Linked DNA regions of Callithrix jacchus. Each later gene encodes a partner of the first gene's protein in a complex. Links are inferred from orthologs where the notes say so. Each region holds a gene or a part of one and is shown in the gene's direction. Other genes may lie near its edges.

The links. The genes of interacting proteins can lie anywhere in the genome.
Region 2: PRMT5 (region 1) and WDR77 share a complex: the UniProt entries of both Homo sapiens proteins name them as parts of the methylosome complex. The link is inferred for Callithrix jacchus from reciprocal best matches to the Homo sapiens genes PRMT5 and WDR77.

What each region holds. Positions count from the first base shown.
Region 1 is NC_133509.1:57,297,280-57,303,293, reverse strand, and holds the start of PRMT5 (protein arginine N-methyltransferase 5), read left to right. Parts: upstream 1-2,609; 5' UTR 2,610-2,624; coding exon 2,625-2,734; exon of another isoform or gene 2,735-2,760; coding exon of another isoform or gene 2,761-2,819; intron 2,820-3,364; coding exon 3,365-3,483; intron 3,484-3,639; exon of another isoform or gene 3,640-3,774; coding exon 3,775-3,860; intron 3,861-4,336; coding exon 4,337-4,471; intron 4,472-5,158; coding exon 5,159-5,271; intron 5,272-5,416; coding exon 5,417-5,466; intron 5,467-5,674; coding exon 5,675-5,838; intron 5,839-6,014. UniProt on the Homo sapiens protein: Arginine methyltransferase that can both catalyze the formation of omega-N monomethylarginine (MMA) and symmetrical dimethylarginine (sDMA), with a preference for the formation of MMA.
Region 2 is NC_133508.1:149,397,101-149,402,466, reverse strand, and holds part of WDR77 (methylosome protein WDR77), read left to right. Parts: intron 1-279; coding exon 280-329; intron 330-3,280; coding exon 3,281-3,351; intron 3,352-3,483; coding exon 3,484-3,538; intron 3,539-4,005; coding exon 4,006-4,077; intron 4,078-4,616; coding exon 4,617-4,725; intron 4,726-5,366. UniProt on the Homo sapiens protein: Non-catalytic component of the methylosome complex, composed of PRMT5, WDR77 and CLNS1A, which modifies specific arginines to dimethylarginines in several spliceosomal Sm proteins and histones.

The sequences.
Region 1 (6,014 bases):
TTAAAATGCTGGTGGAGACCAGGTGTCATGGCTAACGCCTTTAATCCCAACACTTTGGGAGGCTGAGATGGATCACCTGAGGTCAGGAGTTTGCAACCAGCCTGGCCAACATGGTGAAAACCCATCCCTACTAAAAATACAAAAATTAGCTGGGTGTGGTGTTGCACAGTGATCCCAGCTGCTTGGGAGGCTGAGGCAGGAGAATTACTTGAACCTGGGAGGTGGAGGTTGCAGTGAGCTGAGATTGTGTCACTGCACTCCAGCCTGGGCTATAGAGCAAGACTCCATCTCAAAATAAAATAAAATATAATATAATACACACAAAATGCTGGTGGAGCACTCACCCACTTGCTGAGAACAACCACTTACTGGAAAGACCTGGAGGAAAGAATTCCAAATAAATTCTGTAGATACTCCCAATTCTAAGGAGGGGGAGCTTAGTGACTTCTTTCCAATGAATACAGTATGGAAAGCTGGGGCCAGGGAGAGGGTGAGAGAGAATCACTTAACAGTGGAGAAGCCGGATAAACTACTTCTTGCCAGATGATCAAAGTCAACATTAAATCATAAATCATGTGGATAGTATGTACCCTTGATATGATGTGATTAAAGTAGCAGTTTTTTTTTTTTTTTTTGAGACAGTCTCACTCTGTTGCCCAGGCTGGAGTGTAGTGGTGTGATCTCGGCTCACTGCAGCCTCTACTTCCCTCGTTCAAGTGATTCTCCTGCCTCAGCCTCCAAGTAGCTGGTATTACAGGCATGCCCCATCAAGCCCAGCTAATTTTTGTATTTTTAGTAGAGATGGGTTTTCACTATGTTGGCCGGGCTGGTCTTGAATTCCTGACCTCAGGTGATCCACCTGCCTTAGCCTCCCAAAGTATTAGGATTATGGGCATGAGCCACCGCACCTGGCAAAAATACCACTTTAACTTTGTGATCTTCCTTCCCAAATCACAACCCCAGTCTAAGCATGAGAAATACAGACAAATTCCAGCAGAGGGATATCCTACAATATACCTAATCAGTACCCCTCAAAATTACCAAGGTCATCCAAAACAAGGAACATCTGAGAAAGCATCATAGCCAAGAGGAGCCTAAGGAGACATAGCAACTAAATGTCATATGATATCCTGCATGGGATCCTGGAGCAGAAAAAAGTCTGTGGGTAATAATAATAGTAATGATAATAGTAGACAAAAGCACCTCCAGTCCCTTCAGGCTTCATGGTGCATTTTTTTAGTTCTTTGGTTTTCAGACTTTCATTCTTTTGAGGCACTTGCATTGCACCCAGGGTTCCCCAGAACTTATCCTATCCCACAGCCTTTCCGTATTTCCTATGGCTCTGTCCCCTACGAGCGATGGTGATCTCAAGTCTTGTGGCTTCAGTTCATTTCTTCTGGCGACCTCCATCTCACATGGTTCAGATCACTGTTCATCCAACTTTCTATTACACAGCGCCCCCTAGACGTTCAATTCAGCATGACCAAACCCAAACCCTGACTTCCTAAACCCGCTTCTCTCATTTCTTGCTCACTGCATAGACAGAGTCGTAGGCATCACCCCTGGCTTTTCTTTCACAGGGTTCCCTGCCAGTCGATCCCTAAGTTCTGCCAGCGGCGCCTGCGTGGGGCGGACTCTTGTATCGTGTTCTCTTCTTTATCCTTGCTGCCAGGCCCTCAACACCTGTGAGCCCTCTTCCTTCAGGAGTTCCCATTTACCTCCCTATGCCTTTCCTTGCTTCCTTCCTTTCCATCTCTAGCAGCTACTGACATGGGAAAATGTAGATTCTCTCGGGTCTCCACGCCAGGCAATTTCATGACTGCTACCCAATGAAATTCCTTACCGTGAATTCCTTTTCTCCATCTTGAGGTGTGTGTTTAGGCGTTTATTTACATCTTTTGTGTTTGAAACAGAATCACTAGGAAGTAGCTGAGTTACCACAGTTTATTTTAATATGTAGCATTGTAAAGTGACAAAGCCCATTTTAATAGCACCAGCCATTAACCCAGTTTTCTCAATTGACACAAGAAAAACACCTCTGAAGGTAGTTACGGGAAAACCTGACATTAGATGACTGCGGAACCCAACCAACCTAGGACCTGAAAATGAAAGTGAAGATAATAAAGAAGCTACAAACTGAGATAGGAAGGGGAAATTAGAAAATGCTCATGTAGCAAAAGAGAGCGGCCTCACCGAGCCAGCCAGGAGTCGAACCTGGAATCTTCTGATCCGTAGTCAGACGCGTTATCCATTGCGCCACTGGCCCTGGGATAGGAGCGTTTTCTTCTCTGCTATTACTTCAAGGTTATACTGCAGGGTTTCATGGGAGGTGTAGTTTCTTAACTGAATTCGGCCGCTGCACTAAGCATTCTGGGAGATTGAAGTTCATCAGAAACCAGACCCTGAGATTGGTGGATCTGCAGGAGCCACGCCGTACGCCACTGTGCAGCCGGCGGATTGGAGGGAAAAGCCACTCTCCTTCTCTCCCGTTCAGGAGCGGTGGCAGACGCTCTGGTTGTTAAGGCGACTCGTCCCGCCTTCTGGGGGGGGAGGGGGCTTCAGTTCGGCTTTGTGATTGGCTACTACTATCAAGGAATCCCGGCGTGGACAGCGCGAGGAAAAAGATGGCGGCGATGGCGGTCGGGGGTGCTGGTGGGAGCCGCGTGTCGAGCGGGAGGGACCTGAATTGCGTCCCCGAAATAGCTGACACACTAGGGGCTGTGGCCAAGCAGGGGTGAGGGCCGGATCTCCACGAGCGGAATGCTGGGTCCGAACTCGGGGACGGAGAAGGGCAAACTAGTCATCCCGGAGAAGCAGGGGTGAGGGGGTCGGCTAGGATGAGGGCGGGAGAGACTATTACTCTTTGGAGGGGAGGATCCTCGGACCCAGGAAAGTGAGGAAAAGAACTTATGAGGGGCCTGTGGTCACTGAGTCCAAAAGTTGGGGGAGTTGTTGGGTAAACTCAAAAGGGCCCTGGAGGTCGCGATTATTGTCTGGGAGTGGGAGGAGGTTTTAGGGGGCAAGGGAGAGAAGAGGCTAATTTTGACGGGGGAGGCATGGGCGGAACTGGGGCAAATCAGGATGTGATGTTCTGGAAAGACTGTCACTTGAGGAGAAAAAAATTCTGCTTGTGGATTTCCATCGTTTTCTCCTTACATTTTCCATGGCTGTGTTTTGGGGAGAAATTGAGGCACAGTACAGCAGAAGTGATATCCCCCAAGGTGGTCTGAACTCAGCAGCCTAGTGGGGTGAACTGATGGCAGCTGAAAGGGCTGTGGAAAAATCAAGGTAGCCTAAATCCAGTTGCTTGGCTCTCTGGCACTGCTGCTCTCTTTACATGATTCTGGGTCTGTCGCGGTTGTAGGTTTGATTTCCTCTGCATGCCCGTCTTCCATCCGCGTTTCAAGAGGGAGTTCATTCAGGAACCTGCTAAGAATCGACCTGGCCCCCAGACACGATCAGACCTACTGCTGTCAGGAAGGGGTAGGGACCATCCCATATGCCCCTTAATTATTAGAGGCAATAACAACTTAAGCTTTATCGGGGCCCTCATTCTCCTCCTTTTCTGACTTGGATATATTTGTTAGTCCCTGGGATATAAATAACTTGTTTTCTCCTTGCTTCTCTATTCTGCACCAGGCTATCCCACATCTATGTAGAAAAAAACCTTTGTCTCTCATTTCTACACTTGAGTTCCTACTAAAAACTGAAAATTGAACAAGTAAAGTGCTGAACCTTATTCAGTATTTGTCTTTCTTGGGTGGGGGAGTGCAGACTGGAATACGCTAATTGTGGGAAAGCTTTCTCCATGGATCCGTCCAGACTCAAAAGTGGAGAAGATTCGCAGAAACTCTGAGGTGGTAAGACTGACTTCTTTGCTGGATCTTTCTAAAGATTAGGTCTGTAACCATGCTGGGTGGGGAAAGTGGCCCCCTCCCACCCCCAGTAACTTGGTAAATCAATTGAAACAATGAAATGAAAGCTATTAGGCTGGGAGCAGTGATGCACACCTATAATCCTAGCACTATGGGAAGCTGAGGCTATAGGATCACTGGAGCTCAGGAGTTCGAGACCAGCCTGGGCAGCATAGTGAAACTTCGTATCTATAAAAAATACAAAACTTAGCCAGGCATGGTGGTGCATGCCTGTGGTCCCAGCTACTCAGGAGGCTGAGGTAGGAGGATGAATTGAGCTTGGGGAGGTCGAGGCTGCAGTGAGTCAAGATTATGCCACTGCACTCCAGCCTGGGTGACAGAGTAAAACTTTGTCTCAAAAAGAAAGAAAAGAAAGCTATTTGCTTGTTAACTCAACCTTTTCCTCTTTATATCCATTTCAGGCCATGTTACAGGAGCTGAATTTTGGTGCATATTTGGGTCTTCCAGCTTTCCTGCTGCCCCTTAATCAGGAAGATAACACCAATCTGGCCAGAGTTTTGACCAACCACATCCACACTGGCCACCACTCTTCCATGGTATAGCTGAGAGGCTCTTTTCCTGCTGCATATCATGGTAGTCAGATTGTGTTAAGTGCCTTTTTGTGCCTAGCCATTCAGTGAAGGTTATGTTTGGCAGAATTTAAATATAAGTATTGCCAGGCACAGTGGCTCATGCCTGTAATCCCACCTTGGGAGGCTGAGATGGGCAGATTGCTGAGCTCAGGAGTTCAAGACCAACTTGGGCAACATAGTGAAACCCCGTCTCTACCAAAAAAAAAAAAAAAAGCCACACAACACAACGCAAATTAGCCAGATGTGGTGTCATGCACCTGTAGTCCCAGCTACTTGGGAAGCTGAAGTGGGAGGATGACTTGAACCTGTGAGGCGGAGGTTACAGTGAGCTGAAATTGTACCACTGCACTCCAGCCTCAGTGACAGAGCCAGACCTTGTCCCCCCAAAAAAGGTCAGATTGCCCTGCCCATCTAAAAGTGGTATGAAGAGAATTTCAGAACATGTAAATGTAATTATTTTAGAAACTTACATAAGGCAGATATTTACCTAAGGATATTTACCTAAGATACACGTTCACTTACAAAATCACAAATTGGGAAAAGCATAAAGGGATTAACGAGGTCTGGATGAAGACTTTTTTAATTGAGGGAAACTTTCTGGACCCAATCAGTTCAAAAGAGAGTTCTAAAAGGGTGAATGTTTATGTGCAGTTCTGGATGCGGGTACCATTGGTGGCACCAGAAGACCTGAGAGATGATATAATTGAGAATGCACCAATTACACACACGCAGGAGTACAGTGGGGAGGAGAAGACATGGATGTGGTATGTCTCCCTTTGCTGCTGTACCAGGGTGCAAGGGATAGGGTGAGGGGAAGTACAGAGCGGAACCTGTAGGGAGGTCTTGAGCTATGGTGATTGGTCGGCCATATGTAGATGACTGTACTTTTCTGTATTTGACTCTGAACAGGTGGCACAACTTCCGGACTTTGTGTGACTACAGCAAGAGGATTGCAGTGGGTGAGTCCATGAGGATCCTGGGATGAGTGTCGCTTCTCTGACCTGTGAATAAGAAATAGGAATTTTGTGTATAGTATACAATTTTGCTACTTTCCCACTATCTCAGACTGCCTTTCTCTGAAAAAGTAAACAGAATTGCACAAAGGAGCAAGGAAGAGTGTCTTGACTGGCAGTGGTTGACAGTTTTTCTTTTGCCTCACTCATGTAGCTCTTGAAATTGGGGCTGACCTCCCATCTAATCATGTCATTGATCGCTGGCTTGGGGAGCCCATCAAAGCAGCCATTCTCCCCACCAGCATTTTCCTGACCAATAAGAAGGGATTTCCTGTTCTTTCTAAGATGCACCAGAGGCTCATCTTCCGGCTCCTTAAGGTGAGTGGTAGAAGGGTCCAAAAGATGGTCCAGCTATATGTCTTGCTTTATTCGCCTGTGTATGATTGTTTTTTCCTGTGAGGCTGACATTGTGTGTGTGTGTTTTGGAGTTTCGATCTTGTTGCCCAGTCTGGAGTGCAATCGTGCAATCTTGGCTCACTATATCCTCTACCTTC
Region 2 (5,366 bases), on another chromosome or scaffold:
CCTCTTCTCACTGCTCCTGTCTCTGAGCCTCCTTTGGGTGCCTTTCTTATCCTATTAACCTCATTAGGTAACATTTTGGGCTTATTCTAAGAAAGCGGTGACTGATTTTAGCCTGTTTATAAGGTTTCCTTAGGGATTTTGCAGTCTACTGTCAGTAGACCATATTAACAGTCCACGAGGCAAAGACTTGGGGAATGATTACAGGAAGTTCTTGTTTGTACACGTTTTTGTGTTGCTATGTAGGTGGAGATTAAGTGTCTGTTTCCTTTTGCTTCTTAGCATCAAGGTTTGGGACCTTGCTCAGCAGGTGGTACTGAATTCATACCGAGGTGAGTATTATCCCACTTTTAGGCCTGGCCTTAGCTGCTGTGGTTTTCTTCTCCCCTTTGGACGTTTCGAACTTCGCTTTGATGCTAGGAGCAGAAATTCCACATTATGTCTGATAGTTTTCTTATAAAGCACATAGTCAGGCTCCAGTATCCACCCCTTGTCCTTTCCTCATTTTCCCTGTTTCTCTCTCTCTTTTTTTTTAGCTAGTCAAGTGCAGTAGTGAAAAGGGGGGAAAGAGTAGAACAAGGAGTTTAATCTGTAACTGACTGAACAATCAACTGAGATAACTGGCTCCCTTCAGACCAGCCAGTTTCCCTGTTGCTACTGATGGCCTCACCTCTTTGGCAACACAGGGCTCAGAGTCTTGGTCCTCCTCCACCCTTTCTGTTTCCCCACCATCAGTTGCCCACTGAGTTCTTTTTAGTCTTTTCCACTGATCAGTCACTTTCCTGTCCATTTCTATGCCCCCCATTCACTTTCAGGCTTTATCTTCCACAGGTGATGGCACTCATCTCTCCACTAGCAGTCTAGCTCTTTTGGTCTTTTATTGGTTTCCTGAGGCGTGTGGATTACATTCCCATTTTCTTGTCACGACATTGAAGCCCTTCCATTTCCTCTCTTCAAGCTTACTAGATCCTTGATGTTCTCGAGGGATAAACCTTGAGACTTTCAAATCTTGAACCTCTGAGTATTTACCTTCATAAAATGTCTGTTTTCTGGTGAGAACCGTCACTTTCTTAATGCCCCTCTTTCTGCTCACTTTCGTTAACAGCACTAGTGGTTGACTTTCTCTTGGGAGCCATTCTTTGTGCAGATAATATCTGGAGCCTTAATATGCGCATGGCTATGAGATTTAGGTGCTGGGTGATCACCGTGGTTCACTCCGTGGCCAAGTGCCTTTCCCTGCCGTTTCTGACTTCAAAGTGCATGATTCAGTTATAGGCCAGAGAAATCACAGACTCATATCCAAGGTCCAGTGTGCTGGACCTCAGGGTCACTTTCAAATAGGTTTACAATAATATTGAATGCCCATCTGGGTGTAGTGGCTTACCACTGTGATCCCAGCACTTTGGGAGGCTTAGGCAGGCGGATCACATGAGGCCAGGAGTTAGAGACCGGTCTGGCCAACATGCCAAAACCCCATCTCTACTAAAAAGTACGAAAATTAGCCAGGTGTAGTGCTGCGCATCTGTAATCCCAGATTATACTTGGGAGACTGAGGCCTGAGAATTGCTTGAACCCTGGAGGCGGAGGTTGCAGTGAGCCGAGATCATGTCATTGCTCCCCAGCCTGGGTGACAGAGTGAGACTATCTCAGGAAAAAAAAAAAGTCAATGTCCCCTGTCTATTATGTTTGCTTTTTATTTCTTAGACATATGATGTGCCTTCCTGGTTAATATTAACTCTTTTTCATTACTTCAGCCATTCATCCCTTAGTTCTTCGTGTTTGTGTCTTATTCCCCTTGCTGAATTCCAAATCCCTTCTTATTTCTTAATTTTTTGTACAGAGTCTTGCTATGTTGCCCAGGCTGCTCTCAAATTCCTGGGCTCAAATGATCCTCCCACCTTGGCCTCCCAGAGTGCTGAGAGATTACAGGCATGGGCCACCGCACCCTGCTCCAAAACCTTTGGCGGTAGAGGAACCATGCATTCTTCACCTTTTGTACACCACCATGGTGCTTGCCCCAGAGCTTTGCTTTGTTCAAGTGAGCAATAAATTCCTTTTCTTACTTCTTATTCTGTTGGCTTCCTGTGAATTCTAGGGCTAGGAAAGAACTGTGGAAGTCAGTAAAATTCCATCCTTCTGCCTCAGGGAGGGGCCACATTCAGACTCCCTGGGAAAGTCTGGTAGAATGACCGTAGAAGAGTTTCGCAGTTTCTAATTAACATGTAGCAGTGACTTAAAGTTTTTTACATGTAGACCTCCCAAAACAATTTTGAAAATCGATGCCCCCTCATACATTTTTAAACTGATACCTAAAAAATTTTAAGTAGTTGCAGAGAAGGTAACTTCTGGCATATAATTTATTACATACTTATTTCAGGCATACATTTGTCAAAATTTTAGATTCCTAGTTAGTTTGTACGAATGTTTGCCAGATAGCCTAACTGGCAAATGCCAATGTGTGTTGAAAAGCCAGTGGACCAAGTTAGACTAAGTTTTCTGTCAGAAAAAGTCTGACTTTGTTACCACATTCAGATAAAGTTGTTGAATATGTCCTTATCACAACAGTCTGTCATATTTCTTAGTTCTTGTCATTAGACAAGAGTTAAGTCACAGAACCATACTTGTGTTTGTGATATGACTGAAACAAGATCAGCCCCTTCACTGAATTTTACCCAGATGCTCCTTTTGCTCTTTGGTTCTTAGGGAAAAGCCCCTTTTGTCCCTTAGTTTAGAACCCTTATATTTTTATACCCCTGAGCATTGTACCATGGAAAGATCTGGGATAAATGACAGGTATCTGTTTCTTCTATAAAGTGGGAGAAGGGTGATGGTGAAAACAGAGGCAGTTCAATTTTAGGAAAGAGAACATTGAGAGAAATTGGCGCTCTTAATGCTATTAGCGCCCAGAACTCCCTCGCAAGTTTCTGTATACTACTTGGAGGTATGTGTACTCCATCCAGCATGAAGACTGCTATTCTAGGATTATTTAGCCCTCATGTCTAGGAGGTCTTAACTGGAAATTCCTTTATTATTCTTACTAAGCCCCTAATTTCTCATTCCCTGTCTTTACTAATACTTTTCTTTACAAGACTTTTTAGGTTTTATAGGTCTGTAAACTTCTCCTCTTAGCTTCTGTCTAATCCATAACCTACCACAAAATTTGTTAAATTGCATCCTGAGACCAACTCTTCCTCCCTCCTGTGCCTTGATTATTCCTGGGCTGGCCTTCTTGTAATGCTTCGGCTTGTTTTCTGTCATATTTATCTTTCTCTCTACTTTTCAGCTCATGCTGCGCAGGTCACCTGTGTCGCTGCTTCTCCCCACAAGGATTCTGTGTTTCTTTCATGCAGTGAGGTGAGAGATAGCTCCTTCTTCCCTAAACACACTCCAGTCCTCCATAGGCCACAGTCTCTAGTGTGGAGATTTTCTGGCCTACAGCTGCTCCTTTGGATTGTGAAGTCCTTTTTCTTTTCCGCCTCCCTCTAGGACAATAGAATTTTACTTTGGGATACCCGCTGTCCCAAGCCAGCATCACACATTGGTGAGTCTGAGATTCATTGGTGGGAGAATAGTACTTGGAACCCCAATAGAAGAGACTTTCTTTGGCCAGTGTCAAAGCAGATTTGCCAGATTCCCGATCTAGTTACTGTGACATGAGTAACATAATCTCCTTCTTTTCCACTGAGGCTCTCCTAACCCCATTCTGTGCACTGAATACCAAGAGGAAGGGCCAGTTCCTGGGTGGGTTATTTATTTTATTAGGTGGGAGGACAAAGGGGCCAGAATTGTTATCTTCATGACTGTGTTTGAAACTGGCCTGCGACTCATGTCCAGAAAGCGCAGGAGGCTGGTGGATAAATGGTTATGAGGCTGAAGGATGAGGACATTGCTGCCTTAGCAGGGTTTGGGAACTCCAATAAAGGTGCTCCTAGGATTTATAGTGATGTCACTTGAGAAAGTGCTTCTTCTGGGCTCTGAGTTTTAGTCCAGACCCTCTTCTCTTTGCAGGTTGCAGTGCCTCTGGCTCCCTTCCTACCTCACTGGCTTGGCATCCTCAGCAAAGTGAAGTCTTTGTCTTTGGTAAGGCAGCATGTCAGACTTCATATTGACTCTGGGAAAGGGGAGGAGGAGAGAAAAAGAGCTGACTCCACAATGCACAAGGCTCTTGCTGCTCAGTCTTATCAGCACTCGTGGACGCTAGATGAATATGAATTAAGGGTGGGGAGGTGGGGGTGATGCTAATGTAGTTTTACTGTAGCTTTGGAGAACATTTTTTTTCCCAGTGGATTTGATTTTTGATTGATTGATCCAGCTCCGGTATTCTGGGCATGGCTAGAAGTCAGAGAGCCACAAAACAAGTGGGTTGCTGTATACGGAATTCTCTTAGACTGTGGGTAGGTGTAGGGCTATTGCGGTCATGAGGCTGTGCATATGGTGACATGGTTTGTGGTTAAAATAATAACTCCTTCATTCATTAACTTAATTTTCACAATCGTCCAGTGACTTCTTATTCCTACTTTGCAAACCAGAAAACTACTGCACCAAAAGAGAAAACTGACTTTGGCTGGCACCAAGTCCATGCTCTTAACCACTGTGACATGTTCCTTTCTCTTCTACAGGGGACGAAAATGGGATGGTCTCCCTTGTTGACACCAAGAGTACAAGCTGTGTCCTCAGCTCAGCTGTACATTCCCAGTGTGTCACTGGGCTGGTGTTCTCACCACACAGGTACTGGTCTTTGTTATCAGGGGCCTGATGGGTATGAATGGGAACAGTGAGGGGGTGTGTGTATATTTTCTTTCTTTTTTTTTTTGAGACGGAATTTCGTTCTTGTTACCCAGTCTGGAGTACAATGGCGCGATCTCGGCTCACCGCAACCTCCGCCTCCTGGATTCAGGCAATTCTCCTGCCTCAGCCTCCCGAGTAGCTGGGATTACAGGCACGCGCCACTGTGCCCAGCTAATTTTTTTGCATTTTTAGTAGAGACGGGGTTTCACCATGTTGACCAGGATGGTCTCTATCTCTTGACCTCGTGTTCCACCCGCCTTGGCCTCCCAAAGTGCTGGGATTACAGGCTTGAGCCACTGCACCCGGCCTATTTTCAAAGCATTAGCTGATTAAATAGTTCTTTAAAGCAGACAGTGTTCTAGCTGAGGTTTCGGAACATGAAAGGTCTTCAGAGGGCTCTTAAGTGTGAAGGAGCAACTGCAGGCCAGAAAATCTCCACACTAGAGACTGTGGCCTATGGAGGGCTGGAGTGTGTTTAGGGAAGAAGGCGCTATCTCTCACCTCACTGCATGAAAGAAACACAGAATCCTTGTGGGGAGAAGCAGCAACACAGGTGACCTGCGCAGCATGAGCTGAAAAGT